Elephas maximus indicus: one gene and its partners. The protein of the gene in region 4 purifies or fractionates together with the protein of the main gene of each other region. This does not show direct contact. Links are inferred from orthologs where the notes say so. Each region holds a gene or a part of one and is shown on either strand. Other genes may lie near its edges.

The links.
Region 1: the proteins of OTUD5 (region 4) and CNP purify together in Homo sapiens (affinity purification with mass spectrometry; 3 studies listed by BioGRID, with this or other methods). This does not show direct contact. The link is inferred for Elephas maximus indicus from reciprocal best matches to the Homo sapiens genes OTUD5 and CNP.
Region 2: the proteins of OTUD5 (region 4) and CTPS2 purify together in Homo sapiens (affinity purification with mass spectrometry; 3 studies listed by BioGRID and IntAct, with this or other methods). This does not show direct contact. The link is inferred for Elephas maximus indicus from reciprocal best matches to the Homo sapiens genes OTUD5 and CTPS2.
Region 3: the proteins of OTUD5 (region 4) and EEF2 purify together in Homo sapiens (affinity purification with mass spectrometry, with the first as the bait; 3 studies listed by BioGRID). This does not show direct contact. The link is inferred for Elephas maximus indicus from reciprocal best matches to the Homo sapiens genes OTUD5 and EEF2.

What each region holds. Positions count from the first base shown.
Region 1 is NC_064837.1:48,958,908-48,965,834, forward strand, and holds the start of CNP (2',3'-cyclic-nucleotide 3'-phosphodiesterase), read left to right. Parts: upstream 1-3,923; 5' UTR 3,924-4,052; coding exon 4,053-4,055; intron 4,056-4,093; exon of another isoform or gene 4,094-4,231; intron 4,232-5,737; coding exon 5,738-6,404; intron 6,405-6,927. Other genes in the region: ODAD4 (outer dynein arm-docking complex subunit 4), read left to right, coding at 1,613-2,157. UniProt on the Homo sapiens protein: Catalyzes the formation of 2'-nucleotide products from 2',3'-cyclic substrates. May participate in RNA metabolism in the myelinating cell, CNP is the third most abundant protein in central nervous system myelin.
Region 2 is NC_064846.1:162,888,816-162,896,169, reverse strand, and holds the start of CTPS2 (CTP synthase 2), read right to left. Parts: upstream 3,002-7,354; 5' UTR 2,791-3,001; intron 2,716-2,790; exon of another isoform or gene 2,439-2,715; intron 1-2,438. UniProt on the Homo sapiens protein: Catalyzes the ATP-dependent amination of UTP to CTP with either L-glutamine or ammonia as the source of nitrogen. Constitutes the rate-limiting enzyme in the synthesis of cytosine nucleotides.
Region 3 is NC_064821.1:7,039,402-7,046,242, reverse strand, and holds the start of EEF2 (elongation factor 2), read left to right. Parts: upstream 1-3,821; 5' UTR 3,822-3,919; coding exon 3,920-3,922; intron 3,923-4,911; coding exon 4,912-5,126; intron 5,127-5,972; coding exon 5,973-6,154; intron 6,155-6,242; coding exon 6,243-6,454; intron 6,455-6,625; exon of another isoform or gene 6,626-6,690; intron 6,691-6,775; coding exon 6,776-6,841. UniProt on the Homo sapiens protein: Catalyzes the GTP-dependent ribosomal translocation step during translation elongation.
Region 4 is NC_064846.1:122,667,265-122,675,087, reverse strand, and holds the start of OTUD5 (OTU domain-containing protein 5), read right to left. Parts: upstream 3,017-7,823; 5' UTR 2,294-3,016; coding exon 1,700-2,293; intron 1-1,699. Other genes in the region: KCND1 (potassium voltage-gated channel subfamily D member 1), read right to left, coding at 7,058-7,286. UniProt on the Homo sapiens protein: Deubiquitinating enzyme that functions as a negative regulator of the innate immune system. Has peptidase activity towards 'Lys-48'- and 'Lys-63'-linked polyubiquitin chains. Can also cleave 'Lys-11'-linked ubiquitin chains (in vitro).

The DNA of each region.
Region 1 (6,927 bases), on a different chromosome or scaffold from region 4:
TATGGCGCTCTTTCTCACAGGCCTCCAGGGAGTGAACAGGCCAGCAGACCCCATATTGAGTGAGCTGTCAAGGTGCGCTGGCATCTCCCAGCCCACTCTGTGGAAAGGGTGAGGGAAGGGGAGGCAGGTGGTTGAGAACCCAGCCCGACCTGAATCAGCAGAGAAGGACCCCAGAGACCCCAGAGGGGCATAATCGCTGCTCTACTCAGAGCTTCCTGCGTGCCAAACACTCTCTTAGGGCTTTATGCACATGAGCTCATTGGATGCCCCCAGAAACACTGTGAATAAGTAGTGGTTTGATTTCACGCAGAGGACAAAGATGTAGAGAGAGGTTAAAGGTCCCGCAGTGGTTTTTAGTCTCAGGCAGTCAGACTCAAGAACTAGAGCTTGTATGTGGTTCTGTACCACTCTGGCTGTCCCCTGTGCTGCCCTCCTGCCAGCCAGACTGCAGAAAAGGGGAGCCGGAGTGGTGGGGTGGGGCCTTTGTGCACCCAGATGGGACAGAGCCCAGCCCTGGGGACCTCTTCTTCCCATAGAGCAGATTTGTAGCTACAGCCCTCCAGGCTCTGAGGCTGAAATCCTCTCTGATCCAGGCAAGGCACCAGGAACCTGGGGGTGGGTTCTGGGCAGCTGAGCAGCCAGATGACAGCCATTTATTACAGGGGAGTGCCTGTCGTATGGTGGGTGGGTCCCATCAGGGAGGGACTCTGTCTCTGGCTCCACGTACCCTTGGAGCTTCTCTAAGAAGGCACAGGAGCACTAGATATGAAGAGTCAGCAGGGAAACAGCAGATGCTTCAAGCAGCCTCTCCTCCCTTCATCTCTCCCCTCTCCTGGGACAGGCCTCATATCCTCCCAAAAACTCCTCAGAAGGCCCTGCGGCCAGGGGCGGCTGCTGGGCACTTCCCTCTCAGGACAGCAGGTGGCAGCATGGCCCATGTTTTCATGCGCAGTGGCGGCCTTCTCCTGCCCGTGAGGCCTCTAAGAGGCACTGCAGGCTTCTTAGGGACCAGGGACTTCCAGGAAGAGAGTGTACTCAGGAGGGGACTGCTGATTCTTCTCAATGCGAAAAGCATGGAGCAAGGATCCCTTTGGTTGTAAATAGCTCTCTAGCTGCTAGCAGCCTACTCAGATGTTCACAGGAGACCACCCAGCAAAGAAGGAATGTGCTCCCCAGGAACAAAGAAATCTTAGAGGAAAAAGAGAACCGTGCTCTAGAGTTAGACTGTCCTGGGTTCAAATTCTGACTCTGCTGTTTATTTACTTGCATGGTGACTGTTGCATGTGATTTCTCTTCAGTCAACCTCATGTCCCTTGACCGTAAAATCTGATCAAGGGCAGTGTGCAGCATTGTGACGATTAAATGGTGTGACCTGCATGGCACCTCACATGATGCCTGGAACAGGGTTCTTGCTCAGTAAACGGTGGTTCCCTTTCTCTTCTTTGTGGAAGGTGTGCTATCAACCACCGATTTACAGAGCCTGCGAACATGGGCATTCTCAGGGCCTTTTTCTTGGCTGTCTCTCAGATGCACAGGCCTCCATAGCAGGGGGCTCACCTAGGCCCAAAGATGAACAAACTTTCATCTTCCCTTCTTTCTCACGTTCTTCCAGAAGAGACCATGGCATTGGATGATGCCACAATGATGGCAAAGAGACTTAATGAAGAGAAGAAAATGAAACGAGCGAAAGAGGAACCTGAGAAGGTGATGAAGCAGTGGGAGAGAGAACATATAGAGCCAGATGACGAGCTGTTCGAGGCAGACCTGAAGAGCTCAGCACTTGAGCTGGAAGGGAGCAGGCAGAGACTGGAAACAGAAAACACCAGCTCCTCAGGAAGAACAGAACTGGGGCCAATGGAAAGAAGAGATTCAGGAGAAGTCGGCAAAAGACTGCCTGGAGAATTAGGCAGAAGAGAGTCGGGAGAAACAGGCAGGAAGCTATCAGAAGTGGGCAGAAGACAAGCAACGGAAATCTACAGGAGGCCCTCAGGAGAAATAGGCCACAGGCTCTCAGAAGGGTTAAGTGGAAGTGAATCGGAAGGAAGCAAACGGGCAGAAGCAGACAGAAGAGAGTCAGAAGACCTGCCAGTGCCAGGAGAGATGGGCAACACAGAAAATCCTGAAGAGATGAAAAAAGATGTAAAGAAAGATGAATAAAGCCTTGTTAACAGGCATTAGGATCAGGAGGCTGGAGTTCACAGCGATGATGGGAATCTTATTAAACTGGATTTTCAAGCTGAGATTTGTCTTTAATAGGAAAAAAATGGGGGACTGGGCCCTACTGGTCACCTCTGCTTCTTTCTGTCACCATTTTCCCTTTAAATATATATATTTTCACTCTTACAAGCCCTGAGTTTATTTTTTTGCCCCCTCACTCCCACCCAGTCTCAGAAGAGCCTGAGAGAATGAATCAGTGATGCTGGTGTGGGTACCACTTCCCAAGCTGAACTCTTGTCCCAGAACCCTGAACAACGCCTGACCAAGAGTGTGACCAAGGTGTGCAACATAGCCCTCTCCCCCCAGGCCCTGTACTAGGACCTCATGGAAGAGAAAGGTGCTAAGAAATGTTTCCAGGAGGGTGAAGAAACAGGTGAGCTCCAAAGAACCCAGGAAGCTTAACAGGAGGAGAAAGAGAAAGGCTTGGGAATGGCCACGGGTTTGCCAACCACTGGCCATTGGTTTATTTTTCAGAGCCCCTGCTGTGTGCAGGACACTGTAGGAGGCTTTATGGAGAAGTGATAACAGGACAGGCTCAGCTATCATGCCATGGAGGAGGCCGACTTGTAAAGCCTTCAAAGCAGAGTGAAATGAATGCTGGGACTGATAAGGGGCCATTTTGCCCCAGGAGCCCAGAGGAAGAAAGATGGCTCCTTTGAAAGAAAGAAACGGGGCTGGCCCTGGGAGCTGGGACAGTAGCTGGACTTCACGGGTATGACTCCTGGTGGCATGACCAAGTAAATCGAGCTCTCCAAGCTTGTTTCCACCTCTGTAAAATGGGATACCTGCCTCAGGGGTTGGCACGAGGGTTAAATAAGAACTTAGCATGGCACATGGCACACAGCAAAGGCTAGAAAATCAAACGGAGTGTTGAGTGGGTCACAGAGGAGGTGGCAACTGAGCAGCTGACCTTAGAGAACGAGTCAGGATTCCACCATGCTCTGTCCTTTTCGTTCCGTCTCCACACCCACTCGAAAGCGTGGAGTTGCAGCTGACTTTAGGCTGGGGTAGAGGAGGGGACTGGAGTGAGATGAGTAAGGTACTGCTTTGGGCCAAAAGTAAACACAAAACACCAAACCGTTGCTGTGGAGTGATTCTGACTTATGGTGACCTCACGTGTCTCAGAGTAGAACTGTGCTCCACAGGGTTTTCAATGACTAGATCTCAGAAGTTGATCCCAGGCCTTTCTTCCAAGTTGCCTCTGGGTGGACTGAACCATCAACCCTTAGGTTAGGAGCCAAGCACTTAAGGGACTCAAGGTGGCGCCAAAACACTCAGTAATCGAGACAGGTAATATTTCAATGCAAAATTGGAAAAAAAATTACAATTAATGCAAAACTCCATGCTGAATAAAATGCCAACGTTTTACAGACAGGTTCTGACCCTGCCCTTGCACGACCCTGCCTCACTCGTCCCATCCTAGGCCTAGCCTTGGTCTGGCGGTGGGGCTGGTTGCTTCCCTAAATAGAGTTAAGCATTAACAAGCGCAAGAACAGAGGCCGAACAAGCCCCCGGGCCGCCGCAGGTCTCGGAGAGCACAGGTGCACACCCGCCGGCGGCCAGGCACGCGGGGGCCCCCAGCGCCCGGCCGCTGTGAGTTTCGATTCCGCGCGCCTGCGCGCAGAGTGCCGCTCGCCCCGTCCCGCCCCTCCCCTCCCCGCCCCGTCCCAGCCCTCGGCACCGCCCGCCCGTCCGCGTCGCCCCGCCCCCGGGGTATGTAAAGCGGCCCGGCTGGCGTCGTGTGGCCGCTGAACTCCCGTGTCCCTCCGCGCAGGCGGGCGGTCCCGGAGAGCGAGTGCCTGCAAAGGCGGCGACGGCGGCCCCTCTTCCTCATCATGGTGAGCAGAAGGGTGAAGGCCGAGCGGGGAGGGAGAGGACTGGGCCGGGCAGAGGGGTAGCGTCGGAACGGAAAACCAGAGTATTTTCGGGTTCTCGGGAGGAAGTGGCATGCAAATGAGGATCGAGGTTCCGGAGTTGAGCTCAAGCTTTTTTGGGAACCGGATGCAGTCCTAAGGTAGGGAAGAAATGGGGAGGTTTGGGAGGAGTGGTGGCTGGAGGAGGAAACGAGGGGGAGACCTAGGTGGCGTGGGTGCGACCTGGGGTCTACAGCGACGGGGCCCCCGGCCTGGTTCCGACCCCTGCGCTGGCCCACGCTCCGGCAGCCATTCGTCGCCTTCCCGCGCCCAAGGGCCTGTCTCCCAAAACAGCATGCCAGCAGAGAGCCGCTCAGGGAGGCGGAGCCCTTTGGAAGAGAGGACGGTTTATAGTTTTCGGTTGTCACTTGTGGCTTTTAAGGATCCCTGATGGCGCAGTTGTTAAGAGCTGGGCTGCTAACCAGAGGGCGGTTCAAACCCACCAGCGGCTCTGGGGAAGAAGGTTGTGGCAGCCTCTTTCAGTAAAGACTTACAGCCTTGGAAACCCTGTGGGGTAGTTCTGCTCTGCCCTACAGGGTCACTGTGAGTCGTAATGGACTTCACCGCAACGGGTTTTGGGGTTGTAGCTTTTAGCAGATAGGAAAACAAGTGGCTTGGAGATGTGCTGGGGACACATAGCAAAGCAGTGGGCAGAGCTAGCCCCTGAACCCAGGTGCCTGTGCCGCCCAATTCTACGACAGGCACAAAGGCCATGACTTTGTGGGGCCAGAGAGAGGGCAGGAAGAGGTGGCAGGCATGGTGAATGAGGCTCTTTGTCCAGCGTTCTACTGCCCTGCCCCCTACCAGCCCGTCTGTGGGGCCATTGTCCCCCCATCCCAGACAAGAGAGTATTATCCGTTGCTGCAATTGTTGGGGGCAGGGAGGCAGTATTTTGGTAACCCTCCTCCCTGCTCCCCAGTACACACTCTGAGCCAGGACAGCTGTGTCTGCCCAGATAGAGAAACCCCACTCTCGAAGAGGACATCCTTAATAGTTGCCAAGAATATAAAAATTGGGGCCAGGCCCTAGAACCACAGGCTTTAGGCCCTCCCCCGCATGCATGTCAACACGGCTTCCTTTTGGAGGTGGAAGGAGTGGGTAATCCTTGGGGTACTGCTCTAGCTGGAGGGAAGCGAGAGTATAGGCAGGCTGGGTGCAGCTTCCCTCTCCATCCTCTGCCCCCAGTAGACAGGTACTCAAGGGGACTAAAAGGAGGGGCATTTTTTTTTTTTCCAGTTGCCACCCAATCTCCTCTGACTTATTGTGACCTCTTGTATCTCAGAGTAGAACTGTGGACTGTAGGGTTTACAATAGCTGATTTTGGGGGGAGGGGATAGATTGCCAGGCCTTTCTTCCAAGGCACCTTTGGGTGGATTTGAACTTCCAACTTTTTGTCTGTAGCTGGGTGCATTAACCGTACCACCCAGGGACTCCAAGGGGCATGGTAGGCCCTAGAAAAGTTCACTACTTCACCACTCGGGAAGGTGCTTTCAACCCTAGGGATGCTTATAAACCAGGGCAGGGGAGCCAGGTTAGACAAGGGGCAGGGCTGGTGGGGTGGCTGCTGGTGACCTGGGCTGACATCTGTTCTTCTCTTCCTCACACAGAACAGAGGTTTCTCCCGAAAGAGCCACACATTCCTGCCTAAGATCTTCCGCAAAATGTCATCCTCAGGGGCCAAGGACAAGCCTGAGCTGCAGTTTCCTTTTCTAACGGATGAGGAGACGGTGGCCACGCTGCAAGAATGCAAGACGCTCTTCATCTTGCGTGGCCTGCCAGGGAGCGGCAAGTCCACGCTGGCACGTGTCATCAGGGACAAGTACCGTGATGGCACCAAGGTGCTGTCTGCCGATGCCTACAAGATTACCCCTGGTAGTCGAGGAGCCTTCTCTGAGGAGTACAAGCAGCTGGATGAGGACCTGGCTGCCTACTGCCGCCGGGACATCAGAGTGCTTGTGCTGGATGACACCCACCATGAGCGGGAGCGGCTGGAGCAGCTCTTTGAAGTGGCTGACCAGTACCAGTACCAGGTGGTGTTGGTGGAGCCCAAGACAGCGTGGCGGCTGGACTGTGCCCAGCTCAAGGAGAAGAACCAGTGGCACCTGTCAGCTGATGACCTGAAGAAGCTGAAGCCTGGGCTGGAGAAGGACTTCCTGCCACTCTACTTTGGCTGGTTCCTGTCCAAGAAGAGTTCAGAGAGCCTCCACAAGGCTGGCCAGACCTTCCTGGAGGAGCTGGGGAACCACAAGGCTTTCAAGAAGGAGCTTCGACACTGTAGGTGGCAGGGCTGGGGGTGACAGGGAAGCTGGGCCCCTGAGCCTCATTCTCTCGCCCAGCAAACACTGGACACCAGGTGCTGCATGGACAGTACCATTGTTCTTAAAGGATTGGGAGCCAAGCGGAAAAGGCAGTTGGGGCCTCAGCTGGTACGAGGCAGAAGCAAATCGGTGCTTCATAGAGGTGGCCTTGGGTAGTGGCAGTACAGTGGGAATGTGGGGGCAGGTGCTTCCCGGAGCACTTGCCCTCCTCTTTTCCTTCTCCCAGTCTGGATCTGGGCCACTGTCCCTGCCTCAGAGGTGGGAAAAACAAATGACTGTCACAAGAGGAAATAACGTCACCATATGATATAACCTTGGAGAATCTGGTCCAATGTTTTCAAAATCATTTTGAGCAGCAGAACCATTTTTTAAAACAAAATAGTACATGGAAGCCTAAGGTGTAAAAAAAATTAATAGGACTGTTCTGACTTTCCTGGGGATGATTCCCAGATCTTGGGCTGCCCACCCTCCTCTTGGCC
Region 2 (7,354 bases), about 40 Mb from region 4:
AGTGGTAATAATAGTACTTACCTCAGAGACTTATTTGGGGATTTACAAAGCATGCATAAGGGATAAATAAAGGTAGCTGTTACCATTTCTCAGCGCCACCTACTCACTTATTTGATCAGCTCTCAAGTGTTTATCGAACATCTCTTAGTGCTTGAGGAAACCCTGGTGGTGTAGTGGTTAAGTGCTACGGCTGCTAACCAAAAGGTCAGCAGTTCGAATCCACCAGGCACTCCTCGGAAACTCTACAGGGCAGTTCTACCCTGTCCTACAGGGCTGCTATGAATCAGAATTGACTCGACGGCAACGGGTTTTTTTTTATTAGTGCTTTTTTTTTTTTTAGTGCTTGAAGGTCCCTAGGTCGTGCAAACGGTTTGCTCTCAGCTACTAACCAAAAGGTTGGTGGTTCGAACCCACTCAGTGGAACCATGGAAGAAAGGCCTGTAAATTTGTTTCCATAAAGATTAAAATACACGCAAAAAAAGCCATGTTGCCGTCGAGTCGATTCCGACTCACAGAGACTCTATAGAACAGAGTAGAACTGCCCTATAGAGTTTCCAGGGAGCACCTGGTGGATTCGAACTGCTGACCTTTATTGGTTAGCAGCTGTAGAACTTAACCACTGCACCACCAGGGTTTCCTCCATAAAGATTACAACCAAGAAACCCCTGTGGAGCAGTTTTACTCTATAACAAATGGGGTCACCACGAGTCAAAATCAATTGGATGGCAATGGGTTTGTTTTTTTTATTTTATTAGTGCTTGACTTGTTCCCAGTTCCTGGGGCTATAGGAGTAAACAAAAAAGACAACATCTCTGTCTTCTCAGATTTCACATTTCCCACGGGATTAAAGGGAAAATAACTGTTTCTCTAATTTTACCATATTCTAAAACCTATGCTACGTGAAAAAAGCATGATATAAAATTGAACACAATATTATCTCAACTAAGTTTAATTATGACTGGTCAAAAGTACACCAAAATGTTCATTTTTAATATATTTAGGCATTTGGGTTGTAGGCAATTACTAGTTTTCTGTTTTTCACACACACAGGGTGCCTTTTTAAGCACTTGCGATATTTTAGAAAGTCCTTGAAAATGTAACTTATCGCCCAGCTATAGCTAGTCCTTTCTACCTCTTTTAAGCAAACAAGTAAGTGAAACAAAGTTTAAAACCTGCAGAAGTCAGGCTCTGTTTTAGATCACTTCCTTGCGATGGGAATAGCTTCCCTTGTGAAGATTCAACTTTTTCATTTACTGTAATAACAGGAAGCAGAGCCAAATGTTTCTAAAATAGGAGCGTAGAGCTGCGCTGTCCAACAAAAATATGTGAGCCACGTGTCTCATTTTAAATCTTCTAGTAGCCACATGAAAAATTGAAAACAGCTGAAGTGAATTTTAATGTTATTACTTAACCCAATACATTCCAAATATTATCATTTTAACGAGTATTCAACATAAAATTTCATTTATGAGATATTTAACATTCTTTTTCTGTACTAAGTCTTCCGAAATTAGCTGCGTATGCTCATAGCACATCTCAGCGCAGACAAGCCACGTTTCCAGCGCTCAGTGGCCGCACGTGGCGGTGCTACCATATTGGGCTTCGCAGACCCAGAGCACACACCAAACACCAGAAGACCCCTTCTCAGTGATGGCCACTTAAAAATTACTTTTAGTCAAACAGAAAAGAGTATCCACTGAATGATCCCATTTTTATTAAGTTCTAGAACAGGCAAAACTAAGTAAGCTATGACAGAAATCAGAACTGTGGGCGGGGATTGACTGGAAAGGAGCGCGAAGGAAAGTGGGTGATGGAAACATTCTATGTCTCCTTTGGGGGAGTGATTGTAACGGCTGTATAATTTGTCAAGTCTCACTGATCTGCACACTTAAAACTGGTGCATTTTACTGTATATAAATTAAACATCGGTTTAAAAAAAAAAGATGCCAAAAAAAGCTATTTGGTGGCACTAGCGCAGTTCAGCGCCGTGCTCCACAGCCAGCTATTAAGGGGGAAAGCCAGGGTTGTTGCTGCAAGTGCGCCCGGCTGGGGGAAGGGGATGGCCCTCGGCGCGGGGCCCCACTTCCGCGAGCGTGGTCCCGGGGCGCTCAGGCCCCGAGTGCGGGGAGGAAGGGAGGGATCGGGGCGCCGCGGCGCGGAGAGGGAGTTGGGCAACGCCCGGCGCCGGACGCCCACGGGCGGGCTCCGACGGGCGCGGGCAGGGCGGTGCCCCGGCTCCCTGCGCCGGCCCACTCCCGGGACACGCCGGCTCTGGGCCGAGCGCGGACTCTGCGCAGGGGCAAGCGCCGCCGCCATCGGGGCGGGGGACAAAGGCGCCACGGCGCGCCGGGGCTGGGGGCACAGGGCCGGCCGAGGGGCACGGGCGCGGAGGCTCTGGGGGTCCCGGAGGCGCGGGGGAGACCCGGGCGGGAAGTTACCTGCGCGGTGGTGGCGGCGCCGGGCTGGGTGGCCGGTGGCGACGGCAGGCTCCGCCCCGCGGCCTGCCTGGCACTCACCTGTGGGACCGGGCGATGAAGGCGGCCGCCGCTAGGGGTGTCCGGAGTCCCCACCGGTCCTCCCGCCGCCCACGCGGGCCTCTCCCCTTGTGCCCTGCAGCCCGCCCGGCTGATTCTGGCCGGGGAGCCTGGGGCTGACACCCGAGTCTGGGCAACGGCCAACACCAAGCGCTAAAAGTGCCTCCTCTGGCACCGCCAGCCCCCGCCCACCGCCCGGGGCGCCCGCGGCCCCAGGCCTCGCTCTTCCCAACCCGCTCCCCCAGCCGCAGCTCACTTGGCACTGGCACTCCCGACGCGCGGTTAACTTCACGGTCCCCGGCGAGCCCCGGCCCCTTCTGCGGCCAAGCCCCCAGCCTGGGTCCTCCCGTCCAGCTCTCACTATTGTGAAGAGCTGCGCTCTGTCACAAACGTTTGCTGATCCCTGACTATGCGCCAGAAACTGCAGGAGCGCTCAGGAGAGGGCGAAAGAAAACGGAATTCTGCGTTTGAGGGGCTCGCCGTCTGGCGGGAGAGCTACAAAAGGACTGGAATCAGTGAAGTTTCATAGAAGGAGAAGTTGCTGGAGGGCGGGGGGAGAAGTCAGAGAACAATCAGAGCTTCAGAGTAACTTAAGAGGATTTGGTGGTTGGCTGGTGTTGAGAAAGGACACCAGAGGTTATTAAGGAGAAGGGAAGAGCTTACAAAGCACCAGGAGAAAGACTCTAACGGTGTCTGAGCATTTGCTAGGTAACAGCTCCCTTAAACAGGCTTTCTCATTTGCATTGTTACCTCCTTTTACAAGTAGGGACCAAAAACAGAAACCGTTGCAATCACAGAGTGACCCCATGCGTGTCAGAGTAGAACTGTGCTCCACAGAGTTTTCAATGGCTGTGACTTTTCAGAAGTAGACCGCCAGGCCTTTCTTCGGAGGTGTCTGGGTGGACTTGAACCCTTATGCCACCCAGCGGCTTACAAATAAGGGCATTTGGTTTCAAAGACCCTAAGTTACTGCCTTTAAAAGGGGTCTCTCCTTGCAAAGTCTTGCTGTTAGTGCTAACCCCCTCCTACCTTAGGAAAACAAAGTGCATATTCTAGGAACTATATTCAGGGGCCTAAGGGTCTTTTTTTTAAGGGTCTGGTTTTCTTTGGAGTGGTCCAAGTAGAAGATGAGGAGGAGGCACAGATGCACAGTGCTATCTTTACCAAATCAGGGAGTACCAGAGGAACAAATCAGATTGAACCAAGGAGGAGAACTCCTTCAGCTATGGGCCTAACTAAGGGATCTAGGAGCCAGCAGGGTAAGAGGTCTTCCTAGACTTCTGGGCGTATGGGTTTAGGGATCAGGAAAAGGACCTAGAGATATAGGTAGTGAAAGCCACCAGTGTTGAACTTATGTAAGGAAACAGTGTAGAGAAAGAAAAAGAGGACTGGAAATCACCAATGATATGTAAAAAGGGAATTTGTTTAAAAATTGTCTGCCAGTAAGGCCACTGATCTGAATTGTTCTTTATCTGTACTTGCTTCCCAGCTATCTCAAAGAAAGGTGTTGCCCTTCTCTCCTCAGAGCTAAGCCCTACCTAGAAGGAGAACTAGCAAATGCAATAGGAGCAGAAGCGGTTGCAAACAAGAAGGGAAAGAAGCAGGAGAGGATCGTTTTTTTTTTTTCAGAAAGCCAGGTGCTCCTGAGCTGTCTGCCAGGTGCCTCAGAGAACACAGGGAAGTAAAGACTGAAAAGTACACTTCCAATTTAGGGAGAGCAACCAGCGTCTTCACGGGAACTCTTTTTCAGCAGTGCAGTGGGGTCGGAAACCATATCGCTCATGGATCGAAGAGTAAGGAAAATTGAGATGGTAAGTCAAGACAGCCTTTTGCAAAGCCTGAAATGGAAAGAAGCAGTGGAAAAATGATAAAAACCAAAAACCCGACTCACAGAGACCCTATAGGACAGAGTAGAACTGCCCCATGGGGTTTCCAAAGAGTGCCTGGTGGATTCGAACTGCCAGCCTTCCAGTTAACAGCTGTTGCATTTAACCACTACGCCACCAGGGTTTCCAGAAAAATGATAGGTAAGTAAATTTTAAGTATGTTTATGGGTTGAAGGGAAGGAGGGAGAAGTTAAAGATACAGGAGAGAAGATTAGAGTCCCAGGGAAGAGATATAGAGTGCAGATGGATAGAATTAGCTTTCAGCCAGAGGAGAAATGTCTCTTCCTTTGAGATTGGAGGGAAAGAGGTAAGGAAAGGTGAGAATACAGAAAATGTGTGCGTATAGGGATGGGAAGCTGAAAGAGTTTGGCCCAGAAAGAGGACTTCTGTTTTCTCTATCGTATAGCCAGGGCTATCTACAGAAAATAGAAGGTTTTGAAGTGAAATGGAAGGTTTAAGAAAGTGGTAAAAGTTTTGAATAACCAGTCTGAGACACTAGAGGGACAAGTTAGTCAAGTGTCACTAAAAAAAAAAAAATTCAAACCAGTTGCCATCAAGTCAATTCTGACTGACTCATGATGATCCCATGTGTTGCAGAGTAGGACTACACTCCATAGGGTTTTCAAGGCTATGACCTTTCAGAAGCTATGACCTTTCAGAAGCAGATCACGAGAACCTACCTCTGGGTAGGTTTCAGTCACCAACCTTTTGATTAGTAGTTGAGCACTTAACCATTTGTTCCACTCAGGGACTTCACTGAAGACCTAGTGAAGTTTAAGAACCATAATTGTGTAGTGATGTTCAGCTATAATTTTGCAAGATATATAGAATAAAACCAAAAAACCAAACCCATTGCCGTTGAGTTGATTCCAACTCATAGGGACCCTGTAAGACAGAGTAGAACTACCACATAGAGTTTCCAAGGAGCGCCTGGTAGATTTGAACTACTGATCTTTTGGTTAGCAGCTGTAGCACTTAACCACTACACCACCAGGGTTTCCAAATATATATATAGATAAACATAGATAAAAAAATATAGATACTTATGATAAAAGCAGAGATTGCTGGTTGGGTACAGTAGAAGGACAAGACGGGGAGGGAGTTGAGGGTGCTAAAAGAGTGAGATTGTAGTAATGGAATAGGGGTCTAGTGTGTAGAGGAAAGGAACTGAACCCAGCAGGGAGCTAAGAGATGGGGAAAAAAGAAAAGAGAAGGATCAAAAGACTGGAGGCTCAAAGGAAGAATGAAGAACACCAAGGACACAAGGTAATTATGAGCCCAAGAAACAGAAAGGACCACATAAACCAGAGACTACATTAGCCTGAGACCAGAAGAACTAGATGGTGCCCGGCCACAACCGATGACTGCCCTGACAGGAAACACAACAGAGAACCTCTGAGGGAGCAGGAGAGCAGTGGGATGCAGACCCCAAATTCTCATAAAAAGACCAGACTTAATGGTCAGACTGGGACTAGAAGGACCCCAGAAGTCATAGTCCCCAGACCTTCTGTTAGCCCAAGACAGGAACCATTCCCAAAGCCAACTCTTCAGACTGGGATTGGACTGGACTATGGGATGGAAAATAATACTGATGAAGAATGAGCTGCTTGGATCAAGTAGACACATGAAACTATGTTGGCATCTCCTATCTGGAGGGGAGATGAGAGGGCAAAGGGGGCCAGAAGCTGGCCGAGTGGACAAGAGAAGAGAGAGTGGAGGGAGGGAGTGTGCTGTCTCATTGGGGGGAGAGCAATTAGGAGTGTAAATCAGGATGTATATAAGTTTTTGTATGAGAAACTGACATGATTTGTAAACTTTCACTTAAGGCACATTAAAAATTATTAAAAAAAAAAGACTGGAGGCTCAATTCAAAGAGGGCCTATGAGAATGGGAGAACTGGTACGCTGTCACCAGAGAGTGTGATGTGGGAGTCAAAGACTTCAAAGGGGAAGCAGTTAGAGGAGATGATAAGATGTAGGGTATGACCACTCATACGGAATAAAAAGTGAGATGGCGATCACTGGAATTGGATCTAGCACTTACAAGGCGAGTGTATTGGGCATTGAGGGCTGCATGAAGGAGGTGGGAGTTGAGGAGTAAATTGAGGCCCAGGACCCAAATCTTCAGTGAATGTAGGAAGTAACCCTGGAGCTAACAGATGAAGACAACAGAGAAGGATAAAGAGTTGTATGTTGTTGTTAGTTGCTGTCAAGTCGATTCCAACTCATGGCGACCCCATGTGTGCACAGTAGAACTGGGCTTTATAGGGTTTTCAAGGCTGTGACCTTTCGGAAGCAGATCACCAGGCCTGTCTTCCTAGGCACCTCTGGATGGGTTCAAACTGCCAACCTTTTGGCTAGTAGTTAAGTACTTAACCATTTGCCCCACACAGCTGCCTAAAGAGTTGTATAGCAAAATTTGTTTCAAAACAAAAGGGAGACTTTCTCCTATGAAGGGTGAAAGAGATGTGTTGTGGAAGAGGCAGTAAGGGGCTAGGGATACTGATGTCAGCTTCTGAGAAAATGAGCACAGGCTTTACTCGGGGTCATCCTTAGGGATCCTCATTACAAAAAAAAGAACTCATTGCTGTAGAGTCCATTCTGACTCATAGCAACCCTATAAGACAGAGTAGAACTGTCCCATGGGGGGGCCCCACGGAGTGACTGGTGGATCTGAACTGCCGACCTTTTGGTTAGCAGCCCAATGCTTAACCACTGCACCACCAGGGCTCCAGTGGAGACCCAGGTCTCCGTAAAGGCCGAAATAAGGAGGAAACACCTTGTGAAAAGGCTGGAGATACAGATAGATGGGTTTATCAATGAAGCAAGCCTTCTAGAGCACCCAGTGGAAAGGATGTTTGTGAAATAGGTGATCTCAACAGTAATACTTATTACCTGCCAGGTACACAAGGCTTTCCTTCCATATTTCAGTACT
Region 3 (6,841 bases), on a different chromosome or scaffold from region 4:
AGGGCAGCTGGCTGGGCTCAAATCGCGGACCTCTCCTTTAGCAGCCCAGAGCTTAACTTTGTTCCACCGGGGCTCCTTCTAGAGGTTTCAGGGGCAGCTTAAAACAAAGAAATGCAAAACAGCCTGCTAAGATCTCTAATCCAGGTCCCTAAGGGCAAGCTGGAGCACCCCAGTGGCTTAAATGATTAAGCTACCAGCCACAGCTTTGAAAACTTTATGGAGGAGCTATACTCTGCGCAATGGGGTCGCCATGAGTTGGAAACAACAACAAGGACAGAGTATAAAGCTCCCTCTGAGACTCAGTTTATGCCCCTGTAACTGTTACCTGGAGCTCTGGTAGAGGAGGGGTTAAGCGCTAGTTGGTTCAAATCCACCAGCTGGGAATCACTGGCCGACAGTGGGTAACTGTTAGCTATTGTTGAGGTAAACTCCCTGGGTGGTGCAGTTAGCTTACTGAAACTTTGGTCTCTTGTTCTTCATGTTTTTTTTTTTTTTTGCATTCATTTTTACTTAAAAAGTATGAAAACACTACTATCTTGATTCATGAGTTTTTTGGAGCCCCCTTAAATTTTGTGCCTGAGGTCGGTGTCTGGCTCTCCTCACCCTAGTCCCAGTCCTCCTCAGCACGTAAAACAAAACAAAAACACCAAACCAGTCGTTGTGGAGTCGGCCCTGACTCATGGCGACCCCGTGTGTTTCAGAGTAGAACTGTGCCCCACTGGGCTTTCAATGGCTGATTTTTTTGGAAGTAGTTTTTTTTTAGATCACCAGGCTTTTCTTCTGACACACTTCTGGGCAGACTCAAACCATCAACCTAGCATGCAGTAGATGCCTAATAAATGCGTGTAGACGGAATGATCACAGTACCTAAAACATAGCATTTCTATCACGTAACGGGAGCAAACACTTAGTGATTTCTGCATACCAGGCACTGTGCTCGGTGCTTTACTTGTATTAATGTCTTTAAGCCGCAGAAGAGCCCCGTAAAAGAAGTTCTGTTGTTAGTCCATAACTTACATGCAAAACCTGAGGTTCAGAGAGGTTACGTAACTCGTGCAAAGTCACACAGCTAGGGAAGGGGCAGAATCAGCCTGTAAACTCAGGATGTCTGGTCTCGGTTAACCAAAGCTGAAGCACATCTAGCTAACAGAATTTTGTAGAATTGCTTCCCGACCGAAGCATGCTTTTTTGAGTCATATTCGTCCGTGCTTTTCCTAGCTGTGTAATCTTGGGATAATTAACTTTTTTGAGCACTAGTAGCCTCATTAGTACAGGAGGCCACCCAAAGCTCAGGGTGTGGGAAGAACTAAATGAATTACTTGATTTAAAGGGCATACAGCCTTGGAAACCCTATAGAGCAGTTCTAGTTGTCCTATAGGGTCGCTGAGTCGAAATCGACTCGACAGCAATGCATTTTTTTTTTTTTTTGGCTTGAGGCCAGCCCTTATTATGCGCTGATTCTCTGTAACTCCGAATCGACTCAACCGCAACGGGTTAATATCAAAGGCAGAACGGAGCGGTTTGCAGTGGCGGCCGCTGGTCAGCAGGGGTCGCTACCGTCGTCTCCGCGTCCTTCCGGACGCCGCAGCGGGCGCATGCGCAGCTGAGCCTCCCTGCAGAGGGGGCTTTTTTTTTTAATTTCTGTTCCCCGCCCTTAACCCCAGCGGGTATTTATGACTGCAGACCGTGAACCTGGCTGTGGTTGCTTTGGCTCACAGTCGAAGCTCCCACCCTCCTCCCCTAGGCTTCTGCTAAAGTCAGGAATGGGACTGGAGTTGGAGAGAGGTCCCCCCAGCTCTGGCCAACATCTGGCAGCCGGGGGTGGGGTGCCGAAGCCCTTTCCGTGGAGGCACAACAGCGGGGGCGGGAGGGACTTCAATCTTCCCTTTCCCCTTGAACTCTCCAGCCCCGCCCCCCTTGAATATACCTTACAATCAATTTTCTCAATGAGCTATGTATTCATTTGAGGGCAAATTAAACTCGCTTTTCTAAGGAAAACCTTTGCATGCCATTTGTTAAGTGCCCCCGGTTTGCAAGGAAGAAAGGACAAACGGCTGTGCAGTGCGTAATACGGGACCCAGCACACAGTAGGTGCTTAAAAACTTTAAAAAATTAATTTGTGAAAAAGGGAAAGCGGATACCCATCTGCTGAATACGCGTCCCCCCAATGGCGCATGCAATTGACTTGTAAAATTAACATAAAACGTGTGTAGAACACAGGCGTTGATGTTTAAAAACCCAGGCTGAGTTGTGTGTGTGGGGGGGTGGTGAGCCTGGATCTTTGAGTAGATATTTATGGAGCGGCGCCTTCCTGCCTCAGTTTCCTCCTGGGTTAAACGCGGGACGGTGATAGCAAGAGCAGTCGTGGGTTGAATGAAATCAGGGCTGCGACAGCTCAAAGCTAAATGTGCACTGCATTTGCCGGGGCGGAAGGGGTGTACAGGTTTATTTTAGCGTCCTTTCGAGAATTTGCAAGGCTTTTGCGGACCTCCCCCCTCTCCCAGCCCGGGAGAAGCACTGCAGTGCTTTGCTTTTTACTGAGTGAGTTTGGGGGAAGGTGTACTGCAGCGAGTTCATCTGAGCTGGTGAGAGCATCTTTCATTGATGCGTTCATTACTTGGTGATAGCCGACTACTTGCCAGGCATTGAGCTGGACTCAAAGCGTAAAGAGACGGAATTGAATAGCCAATTCGTCTCCACCAGCGAAAGTTCCGAAATACAACTATTTCTTAGGGTCAGATTAGGACACAAATGCTAAATAGCCTTCCTTGCGCCTGCCCCTGGAGAGGAACCGAGACAGTGAGATTGCACATGGAAAGCGCTTAGCCCGTGACTAAGACACGCAGCAACCCCTGAAATAAATAGTTGTTTTATTAATATCAATGGAAGTTAATTAAAATGGCTCAAGAAGAGTTCCTGTGTGTCAGCATGGTGCTAATCTCTTCACGTGTATTTAACTCGTTTTGCTATCTCAACAGTGACGTAGTACTGAGCACTCCCATTTCACAGATGGGGCAACTGAGGCACAGAAATTAAAGTAACTGTGGTGGAGCGATTTAGGTATTTTGTTTGTTCATTGCTATATCCACAGCACCTATGACTGCCTGGCACATACCCATTGCCGATTGGATTTAGACTCATAGCGACCCTACAGGACGGAGTAGAACTGTCCCATAGAGTTTCCAAGGCTGTAAATCTTTACGCAATCAGACTGCCACATCTTTCTCCAGCTGAGCGGCTCAGCGGCTGGTGGCTTCTAACTCCCGACCTTTCGATTAGCAGTGAGCGCTTCACCACTGTACAACCGCTTCTCTTTCTATCTAGGACGCAGCATACACTCGCATTTGTTGAAGAAATGAGTGATCAGTACCTGTTTTTTAAAAGTTTTTATTTTGAAATAATTATAGACTCACAAATAGTTGCAAAAATGGTACAGAGAAGGACCGACTACCCTTCACCCAGTGGTATCATTTTACAGGACAATGTAAAAACCAGGAAATTGACATTGCTCCAACCCGCAGCCCGTACTCAGACTGTAACGTGCTTTCAATAATAGTGGTTGGCAAGCTACTGTAGTTGCTATTATTATTATTCTCAGCGAAAGCGGCGCACTTAGCTTTGTGAACCTGAATATTGCATCCCGGAGGCGTGCACCAAGCTGGCAGCTGACTACCGCCCCTCGGAAATCCAGGCTCGGGACGGCGACTGAAGGGTTAACCGGGGAAAGCGTCAGTGCGCCTGCGCAAGGTGGCGCCTCGCCCTGCCCCCGCAGCGCGGTCAGATGACCCGCCCAACCGGCGTCGGCCTATAAAAGGCCGAGTGTTGACGTCAGCGTTCTCTTCCGCCGTCGTCGCCGCCATCCTTGGCGCGACTCGCCTCGCTCGTATCTGCCTGGGAGAATCCACCGCCATCCGCCACCATGGTGAGTCACGCCGTCTCTCGGGCGGCCCGGGCCTGCGGTGGGGCCTCCGAGGAGTCGGCGCTTCAGAGTCTGGTGCGCCGAGGCCGCCGAGAACGGGGAGAGACATGGCGGCGGCGGGCTCGGGGCTGGGGAAGCGGCCGCCGCCATGTCTGCGTGCCGCGCTGTCGGCGCAGCCCGTTCTCTGCTTCCGGGGGCGCCGCTGCCTCGCGGGAGCCCGGGCCCGGCGGGAGCCGGGGTGAAGGCGGGGTGGGGGCATGGTGATGTGGCAGGCGCTGTAATGGCGGGCGCCGCGGCCGGCGAGGGAGGCGCCTTATGTAACCCGCGGGTCGCGAGTTGGAGCTCGGGGTTCTGTCCGGGGGCCGTGGGCGGCGGGGAGCCAGCGAAAGGAGGCAACGGAGTCCTTAAGCCCCCCGCCCCGGTCTCCTTCGCATCCTGGGTAATCTTGGTCCTTGTCGTTTCTGTGTTTGTCAGCTACAGAAATGATTGGTTTGCTGCTAGGTGAGGACTGGCTCTTGTTGGGGGTGCGAAAGGTGCCTGGGTGCCCGAGGAGAGAGCTTATGTAGGGATCTGAGGGGTGGGACGGATCTCCGTGACGACCCCCACAGCAGAGAGGTGACCTTGGATATCAAAGGCTTTTGGGGGGAGGAGAGCGGGGTAGCTCCGTGGCTTTTCTTTAGGAGTTTTGGGGGAGGCATTGTTAACTGACATCATCATTTTTGCACCTGGCCTGAAGGGAGTCGTGTCACCCTCGGTGACTCACTGTATAGCCTACTTTGTGGGCTGTCACCAGCAAATGGCAACTGAAATCAGAGCTGCTATGGAGATTTGGGAGAGAGGTTTTTATGGAGATTTGGGAGAGAGGTTTTTCAGAGCACCCTGGTCATCAGTTGGGGGTGCCAGCTTGCTCTTGGCCGTGGGCCTGGCTGTTGTATCGACCGGATTCTGAGTGCCAAGTTGGTTCCTGGAATCCTGTTCTCCCCCTCCCCCAGGTGAACTTCACGGTAGATCAGATCCGGGCCATCATGGACAAGAAGGCCAACATCCGAAACATGTCAGTCATTGCCCACGTGGACCACGGCAAGTCCACGCTGACAGACTCCCTGGTTTGCAAGGCCGGCATCATTGCCTCCGCCCGGGCTGGGGAGACCCGCTTCACTGACACCCGGAAGGACGAGCAGGAGCGCTGCATCACTATCAAGTCCACGTGAGTCCCTGGTGCTTTCTGGGCCCTGGCAGGGAGTGGCTGATCAGCTGGCTGTTGGGGGGTGGAGGCTGGTGACAGCACGTACCATCATTTTCGGGGGGGGGGTGACAGCACGTATCATCTTTCTGGGGCTGGGGCTGGTCTGCCCAACCATAGGAAAATATGGTTCAATTTAACGAGGTGCCGCTGGGTCGAGATTGGGGGCCTTGGGGAGAGGAGAAGGTTTGACCCAGTGGTCTCCTCCTGGGGAGTGACTTGGCCACTCCTCCAGGGACACTTGGTACGGTTGTCAAAGCTGGGAGGGATGCTACAAATTTCTAAGGTTGTTACTGAACACGTTGTGATGCGCAGGACAACCTGCCCACCAGCACAGAGAACTGTGTCCGTGCAAGTCCGTAGTATCCAGATTGAGGTTGATTCAAGGCCGAGTTGTCTTTAGTTGGTAATTTAGAGGATCTTTTTGGTCTTTTATAGTTAGACTTATTGCAGTTGGGCCAGGAGAGGGACAAGTAGGTCTTGGGGTTCTTAAGTCCTGGTTGGTTATAGAATTAGGTGTGATGTGGCCCTGGAGCAAGGGGCTGGGGGCCCCCAGGAAGGGGAGGATCCCTGGTCAAGGGTGCCATGGGTGGGTTTTGTGTGTAAAGTCCATTTTGAGGGATGACTGATACTGTGGGGGCACAGGTTAGCATGTTGCTCTGAGGGGTCTGTATCTGGGTGTTTAGTGGCATCCCTGTCTTACCTGGGAATTGGGGGCCAGACATCCTGACCCACTGGGGCAGGGATCTGAGGCTGGTGCAACCTGGGTCCGTGTCCATCCATCCGTAAGATTTGTCTGTCTGTTCTTAGCGCCATATCCCTCTTCTATGAGCTCTCAGAGAACGACCTGAACTTCATCAAGCAGAGTAAGGACGGTTCTGGCTTCCTCATCAACCTCATTGACTCACCTGGCCACGTTGACTTCTCCTCAGAGGTGACAGCTGCTCTCCGTGTCACTGACGGCGCCTTGGTGGTGGTGGACTGTGTGTCCGGTAAGCAGCGGGTCCCTCTGGTTGGGGGGGGGACTCGGGCCGTCTCCGCTTGGGTCATCCTCTGGGTGACTGACCGTTCCGTCCCCAGGTGTGTGCGTGCAGACGGAGACGGTGCTGCGCCAGGCCATCGCCGAGCGCATCAAGCCTGTGCTGATGATGAACAAGATGGACCGGGCCCTGCTGGAGCTGCAGCTGGAGCCCGAGGAGCTTTACCAGACCTTCCAGCGCATCGTGGAGAACGTCAACGTCATTATCTCCACCTACGGCGAGGGCGAGAGTGGCCCCATGGGCAACATCATGGTGCGGGGCCTGGTGCTTGGTGGGAGGCCGTTCTCTGTGGCAGGGACTAGGGAGACTCGGCTTTTCTTGTCTAGTGGGTGCTGTCATTGGGGAATGGTAGTTTTGAGGAGCTTGAAGAGGTTGATTTCAGCCACTGGTATCTGGGAGAGGGAGGCTGGGCTGGGCACGCCAGCATGTGATGACTGACATTTCTTCACTTTGACCTGATGTGTCTTGAAGAAACCCAGTGTCTGAGGCCCACGGTACCTGGGGAGCCTGAGGCTGTGATTTTTACCCCAGTGCCCCCGCCGCCCCAGCTCTATGGTTCCCTCTTCTCCTCAGATTGACCCTGTCCTTGGCACCGTTGGCTTTGGTTCTGGCCTCCATGGCTGGGCCTTCACCCTGAAG
Region 4 (7,823 bases):
GCTCAGTTCTGGCGGGGGAAGTCCTCCGTTCCTGAGGGGTACCTCAAGTTCCCCGAGGGGGAAGCTCCGACCTCAACCCTAGAGACACACCCATCACTAGGGTAGGTATGAGTCTCCTGTTCCTGAGGGAAAGTTCAAGTCTCGGTGGAGTGGGTCTCAGGTCTTTCACCCTAAAATAGGGGGACCTAGGCCCTTGAAGATCCATGGGAAAGCCTCAGACACCATCCCTGGGACCTCATGCTGCTCATGTCCCCTGAGGAGTGGCCTCAGGCTTGAGGTTCCAAGGCAGGGGTCCTCTGTCTTTGACAATTAGCTCAGTCTCTTGGGGAAGGGGACCTCAAACCCCTGTTATGGGGGAGAGAGAGGGGAGGTAGTGATTATATCACTACGTTGTCAGTCAGTCCCTTACAATTGGGATAAAAAAGTCTCATAACCTCATGTAGACACAAAAGGTTCCCTGAAAACCTCTGCTGGGGGATATGAGGCCCCCAAAGACGCCTCAGGCTCAGTCTTTGAAAACACCAGTCCATAAGCAGGGAGGTCTTAGGCCCCAGTATCCAAAGCAGTGAGTCTTTATTTTCTTGAGAGAAAGCTCAGGCCCTTGGTGGGAGGCTGGGGGAGAGGGGAAGGGAGGCCCACCCTTAGAAGCTTAAGCTCCTAGAGGCTCAGACTCTTGTCCCCAAGGAGGGAGGTGTCAGGCCACTGAAGGGAACCATAGACTTGTCACTCAGAGAAGAGATGATTCATATGAACCTGAGTAGAGTTTCTGGTCCCTGGGGATAGGTTTTGGCCCTTGTCCCCAAGTGGAAAGGGATCTTATCTCCCTGAGGGAAAACTCAGACGTCTATCTCTAAAGGATATGTACATGTGCATGTCAGACCCTTGATTCTAGGAGTCTCAGGTCCCTAAAGTCAGGCTTAGGACCCTTGAAGTAGTCTCAAACCCCAGTGCTTAAAGAGCCTGTGCCTCATTCCCCTGCAGAGGAGAGCTTGTTCCATGCAGTCTCTCAAGTCCCTGAAAGATTATAGATCCCGTGGAGACACTCGGGAGCTATCTCTGAGGTCTCCGCCCTATTTGGGTTCCCTGGAGAGGGGAGTAGGAGCAGTGGTGGTGCAGCAGTTAAGCGCTCGGCTGTTAACCAAAAGGTCAGTGGTTCAAACCCACCAGCCAGTCCAAAGGAAAAAAGATGTGGCAAGCTGCTCCTGTGCGGATTTACAGCCTTGGAAACCCTACGCGCAGCAGTTCTACTCTGCCCTGCAGGGTCACTATGAGTCAGAATTTACTCAGTGACAGTGGGCTGGGAGAGGGAGTTTCAAGCTCCTATCCGAGAAGAAAGGGGATCTCAAGCCCCTGAACATAGACTCCCCTCTCCGGAGGCACTCATCCTACCTGTCTCTCCGGGGCGGGGGGAGGAATTCCTACCTACTGACCCTACATGATAAGATCCCTGACAATATAATTACTACTATGGGCTCTGTAAGACACCTCAGAGCCCATGTTTAAGTCTCACACCTTATCTGGGGCCTCTGAGTCCAGCGGGAAGAGTGTCTCATGTCCCTACTACCAAAGAAAGGAGTGTCAGGCCCCGAGAGAAGACCTAAGTCCCTCGGCATTTTCTCAAACCAGCATTCCTGGGTTCCCTACCCAGTCTAGGGATCCCATCCACCATCCCATACACCTCTTGCCTCCCAACCTTTACCTGCTCAACAGTGGCAGGGTCCATGGCCTCGATGCGTGCTGCCGCCGCTTCATATTCATCCTCGCTGTTGTAGCCAGCGCCGACCTCCTCACGCTCAGGACTACCTCCGCCAACCGCGCCAACCCCAGGGGCTTGACGCCGCCGCTTGCTGTGCCCCGGCCCGGAGCAGCAACCGCCCACGCCCACAGCACCGCCCACGCCCACCACCACGCCCGCCCCACCCACGCCCGCCCCTGCCGGTCCCAGTGCGTCGCCAGGACCACCGCCCGGACCTCCTGGGCCTCCGCACGGAGGTGGAGAGGCCTGTTGCGGCCGGGGACCCGCCACAGCGCCGGGCGGGACGGCCAGCGCCCAACGATGAAGCGCGCCTGGAGGCCCCGGTAGCGGACCCTGAGGCGGTGGCGAGGCCCGGGGACGAGCCCCCACGACGCCCGAGTCACGATCACGGTCGCCGCCGCCCACGCCCGTGCCGCCGCCGCCCACGCCCACACCCCCGCCGCGGCGCGGCGCCGGGGGCAGGGGCCCGGGCGGCGGCGATTCGTTTGCGGGGTCGGCGTCGGGAGGCGGGGGCTTCTTTTTGGGGAGAATAGTCATGGCGGCACCGCCGAGTACCCCCCAGCAAACCCGGCGCGGGGCACGCTGGGAGATAACCCGGATGGGGGGGGGCTACTGTTGTGCGCGAAGGACGTCGGGAAGGGCGGAATCCGGATAAAGGGATTAAAGCACCGGTTCGAGAACCCTCGGTGGGTGCGCGGGTTACGCCGGGAGGAGAACCCGGATATGAAGTCCAAGGTGGAGGTACTGTTGCGAGTTTCTCGCAGCGTTCTCTCCAAGTTCAGCAAGTTTTTTGATATGCTCGTTCCTGCCTTCTGCTTCAAAGGAAACAGAACCAAAACAAGTGCCTCTTCGCCCCGCCCCCTCCCAGGTTCTTGAACTACCGGGTGGGGCCCGGGTGGCGCTGCGCAGGCACTCCAGGGCACAGACCCGCCCCTCTTTGGGAAGTACGTGGGCAAAATCACCGCCGCCGCCACAATTGAGAGCACCAACCAATCAAGGCAGCTGCGTGGGGCCTCAAGGATGGCCTTGGACCAATCAGGGGCGAGCGTTCGCCCTCTTGTGTCCTCCGCCTTTGACTTCAGTTAAAGTCGGTACTCTCCTTCCCTGCCTTTCTGTTGGCCGGTTCTGGTCTTCACTTCTTTCCCCGAGGCTCTGACTCGCGGGCATGGGTACTGCGAAAGAACTGCGAGGTTTGCTCCATGCGCGATAACGAAAGCCCCTCCCCTTCAAACTTCCAACTTGGCCGCACTCAGCTGGACTGACTGAAAAATATTGAAACTCCCAGGCCATAGCGTTCCCTTGTAGCGTCAGTTCCGGTCCCACCCACCTGCAAATCCCCGTGGAGCAAAGAGGCGGACGCCGCTTCACCCTGGCAACAAGTCGATTTCTGCGCTGATTGGTGAAGAGACACCCTCACTTACGTTGGACGGGCCAATCGTGGGACAGACACGCACCGTGGGGACTAGGAGTTTGGGAAGCAAACACGCCCTTTGGCACAACCACCCTTTCGCCCTAGCGTTGACCTCAATGCGCCAATGGTTAGTGCACAGGCAAGGCACAGCCTTTTTTTTTTTCTCTGAAGTGGTTTTTACTGGGTCTAGCGCTAACGGAAAGGTCAGCGGTTGGAACACACCAGCCGCTCTGTGGGAGAAAGATGTGGCAGTCTGCTTCCCTAGAGATTTACAGCCTTGGAAACCCTATGGGGCAGTTTTACTTTGTCCTCTAGGGTCACTGTGAGTCAGAATCAACTCGATGGCGTACAACAAGCGAGTATTTACCAAACAGCTCTATTACCAGCCAGGGTCTCCCAATGGGGTTGGTAAAATCCCTGCTACTGAGTGATTGGAGAGCTGCGAGCTAATCCAATCTCTGCCCTTCCTTCTGAGTGATCCTTTCCAAGTCATTTAACAATCCCCCCATTCTAAATTTTTACTTCTCTGTAAAATGGCAACAATAATTCCAATTTTTCAAAATGAGTATCAGAGGTCCGTGCTTGTAAAGGATATGGTGCCATCCCTGGCACACAGTAAGTGCTCATCAAGTTAGTCTGGTGGTACAGTGGAAGGACCCTCTAGGCTTTAGAGTCAGGAAGACCTCCGTTCCAGGACCAGACAGACCATTACTAGCCGTGTGACCTTGAGCAAGTCATTTTGTCTCTTGTTTACCTATCTGTAAAATGGGAATAGTAATGCCTGCCTAGTTACTTCAGGGGCCCTGGCGGCGCAGTGATTAAGCGTTAGGCTGCTAACCAAAAGGTCCCCAGTTCCGATGCACCAGTCGCTACTTGGAAATCCTATGGGGCAGTTCTACTCTGTCCTATAGAGTCACCATGAGTCGGAATCGACCTGACCACAATGAGTTTGTTTTTTTGTCATTGCTGTTGTATAGACTACCTCACAGAGTAGTTAACGGGGTTCGAATGAGCTCATGAACCAAAAAGGTGGTATAAGAGGTGAGCATTTGCTGTCAGTCTTAGGATCCAAGCCATACAACAGGCTGACTGAGAGACCATTAGAAAGCTCTCTGATTACCACCTAACTGGCTACCTTAAGTTCTTCCCTGAAGAGTATCAGTAATAAATGGGCTTTCGTAGTGTTTTCTGTGCATGAGACTTAATGGAAGGAGGGGATTCGCATTTATTGGGCCTGTTGTGTTAAGGAAACTGTGCCAAGTGCCTATGGCCATTATCACATTGAATCTTCTCAGGACCATCTCACTCCAGATCCATATATCCCAGTACCTACTAGATATTTGTTCAGCACTGCACATCCAAAACTGAACTCAGGGTAATGATCATGGCTAGCTTATTACGTGCCTGGCACTGTGCACTAACAGCTTTGATGTTTCCTTTGACAGCGAATGGCCCATCCAGCCATTGCCCGAACCAGAAACCTGGGAATAAACCTTGATTACTCCCTCTTCTTCAACTCCCACATGCCCACCAGTTCCAAGTCCAGCCAATTCTACCTCCCAAATCTCTTGACTTTCCAACTCTGCTGCCATTACCCTGGTCCAAGCCACCATCACCTACCAACTGGACTACCTAAAAAGCCTCCTCACTGCTCTTCCTGCCTCCAGGACTATTTCTCTACAATCCACTCACCACAGCCAGAATGATCCTTCTGAAACACACCTACCTCATCATGACACTTCCCTGTTTATAAGCCTTCAGAGGTCCCCGTTATCCTTAGGATGAAATCCAAAATCCGTATCATAGTTTCAAAGCTCTTTCATGATCTAGCCTATCTCTATATCCTTGTCCTCATCACAGCCTCACACTCTCCTCCCCAGCCACACTGAAGTATTTTCAGTTCCCCCAGACACCTTCAGCTTGCTCTCTAACCTCCAGATCATTGCACATGCTGTTCCCTCTGCCTAAAACATTTTCACCCCTTTGTCTTTTGTCTGGCTAACTTCAATACATTCTTTATGTGTCAGGCAGGTTAGGTTCTCTTGCTATCTAAATGCTTCTGCAATCCATTGATCTTAGTTCTACAACACTATAATTGCTTAATTGTCTGCCTTCCATGCTGAACTCTGTATCTCTAGGACTAGTACATGATACATACTTAAATATTTGGTAAATGAATGATTATTTCACAGATTAGCAAACTGAGGCATGAGAAGGTAAGTGATTTTCTCACACAAGGATTGGAGCCCAGGTCAACCTAATCCAAAGTCTGTCTTCTTATTTCTCCATAGAGTTCAGCCACACACAAACCTAGTGTAGCCAGTAGCTCGGGAGAGAGAATGAAGGGGACTTCCAAAGGAAGGGGATTTCTCCAAACTGAGAGATGCTTTTCATGAGAGTTAATTCAGAGGTGTTTGCTGTCAGGAAACCTGAGTTTAATTCTCTTCTAACCAACTGTGTGCTGCTCTGGGTCTCGGTTTCCCCATCTGTGAATGAGGGAACTGGATCAGATGGTGGCCAAAGAGGCATGTCTCTAGACCTCCTGGCCTGCCTCACTGTCTGTAGTTTCAATTTTGGAACCACCCTTTTTCATGTCTCCTAGATCCCAATCTTCCAGAACACATAACCAGCCATCCACCCCCCTGTACCTTTACTCACACCAGCCCTCCTACTAGTGGAAAGGAATTGAAATCAGAGTGTTTTTGACCCCCAGCCCCCAGAGCCAGGAGGTGCTTAATCCTCATCTCTCCTCTTAGGTTTTATTGACTGATGGAAACTACATCTTTGTCAGCCGCCAGCTCCATGAGGTCAGTGCTGGGGACAGGGAACCTGAGATGATGCCAGATTTCAGCCTGACAGCAGGCACAGTTCCAGAAGGTGACCCAAGAGAAAGGAACATGTAAAAAGGAGTTGTGGGGAAGGAAGAGGAGATCAAGAAGTTCCTCCTGCCTCCTACAACTCCCAGAGTTCAGGAAAAACCCAGGCCTCAGCCCCTGACGGTTCTGGACTCCTGCCCAAAAATATGGAATCAGCCCATGATTTCCAAGCACAGCCCAGCTCTTGCTGGCTGCCAGGCTCTTATCTCAGCCAGTCCAGACTCCAGCCCAACCCAGGAAGGAAGCAAACCAGAGGAGAGGAGTGAAGGATGATTGGTTAGAGGTGGTCCCTCTGATTAGGGTAGATGTAGATACTGCAGCAGACTGAGCAGAGGCTTTGCATAATGTCATGGCGGCAGTTGCTATTGCTAGAATTTGCTGGAGGCCTGGCAGAGGATGGGGTTGCGGGGACCCATTTTCAGTAGCTAGGGAAGGGGCTGGTGTGTTTGTGCTATTTGTCTATGTTGGGAGGGGCAGCTTGACCCCTCAGCCAAGGCCTGGGAGTGGCAGATCACTGCTGAGGCCACAGCCCATGGAAGCCTGTGGTTGTTGCATTCTAAGCTTTGGAGTCTTGGAGTTGTTGGACCTGAGATCAGAGGTGAGGGTTCTTTTCTCTGAAGTCCCAAACCTCCACAGCCCGGCCAGAGAGAAGAAATCTTAGCTTTACTTCTCAGGCCAGAGCCCAAGAATCAGATGGGAGCTTTACCTACCTCTGAGGCCTCAAGAGAAGGAACATGCAAGAGGCCAGCTAGGGGAGAGGGGCCAAGGAGGTCGGGGGTCTGTGGAAGCCCAGCACTTCAGCTCTCACCAGGAAAATCATGTGGGGTGGGAGAAGTTTCCCACTCTCTGGCTACTTCCCCACCAAGTGGGCTATTCCCTGAAACTCCATTGCATAGTTCTTGGTAGGGGGCAGAAGGGGTCCCCAGGCCTTCCCCTCTCTGCTTCCCTAAGATATGGCTTTGGAAAGGAGTCCCCAAGAATTAAGAGGGCCCTCTGGAAGGGTAGACCCACCCCTCACAGGGAAGAGATCCTGACAGTCTCAGGGAGGAGGCAAGGGGTACCCATGTTGGAGTTCCTGAGGGTGTTGCTGGCCCTGCTGCTGCTGCCATCAGGGGAGGAAGGTTGACTCTCATCTGGGGTGTTGGCAGGAGGGGTAGGGATACTAATAATGGCGGCCACGAAGTCCTGGCTGTCGCAGTTCAGATCAAGGCCGTCATAAGGCTTGGCATTGAGGCTCGAGCGGCTGTGGACAAGGGTGTGAAAGAGGGAAGGCTCTTAAAAAGTCATCTTGATACTTGGCATAGCAATCATGGGATCTGTTGAATGCCCACTGGGTCCCTGGCACCATGCTAAGTGCATCATCCCCTGCATCCTTGATTATGGCACAGAGAGTGTGTGCTCTGGAGTCATTATGTCCCAGGCACTGTTTTGAGCACTTTGTATCATTATCTCACAACAACCCTATGAGGTAGGAAATACTGTTATTCCCATGCTATAGATGAGAGAAAAGAGGTTGAAAGTGACTGAAGTGCAGACACACTCCTGCCTTTGAGCCTTTACACAGGCTGTTTCTTCTGCCTGTAAAGCTCTTCCTCTGGATATACTCATGGCTCACTCCCTCTCCTCCTTGAGGTCTCAGCTCAAATGTCACCTTAGTAAAGCCTTCCCTGATCACACTATTCAAAGTGCATCACCCCCTGCTCTATACTCTCTATCCCTCATCCCTAATTTGTTTTTCTCCTTGGTACTTAACAAATGTTTAACATACTACATAATCTGT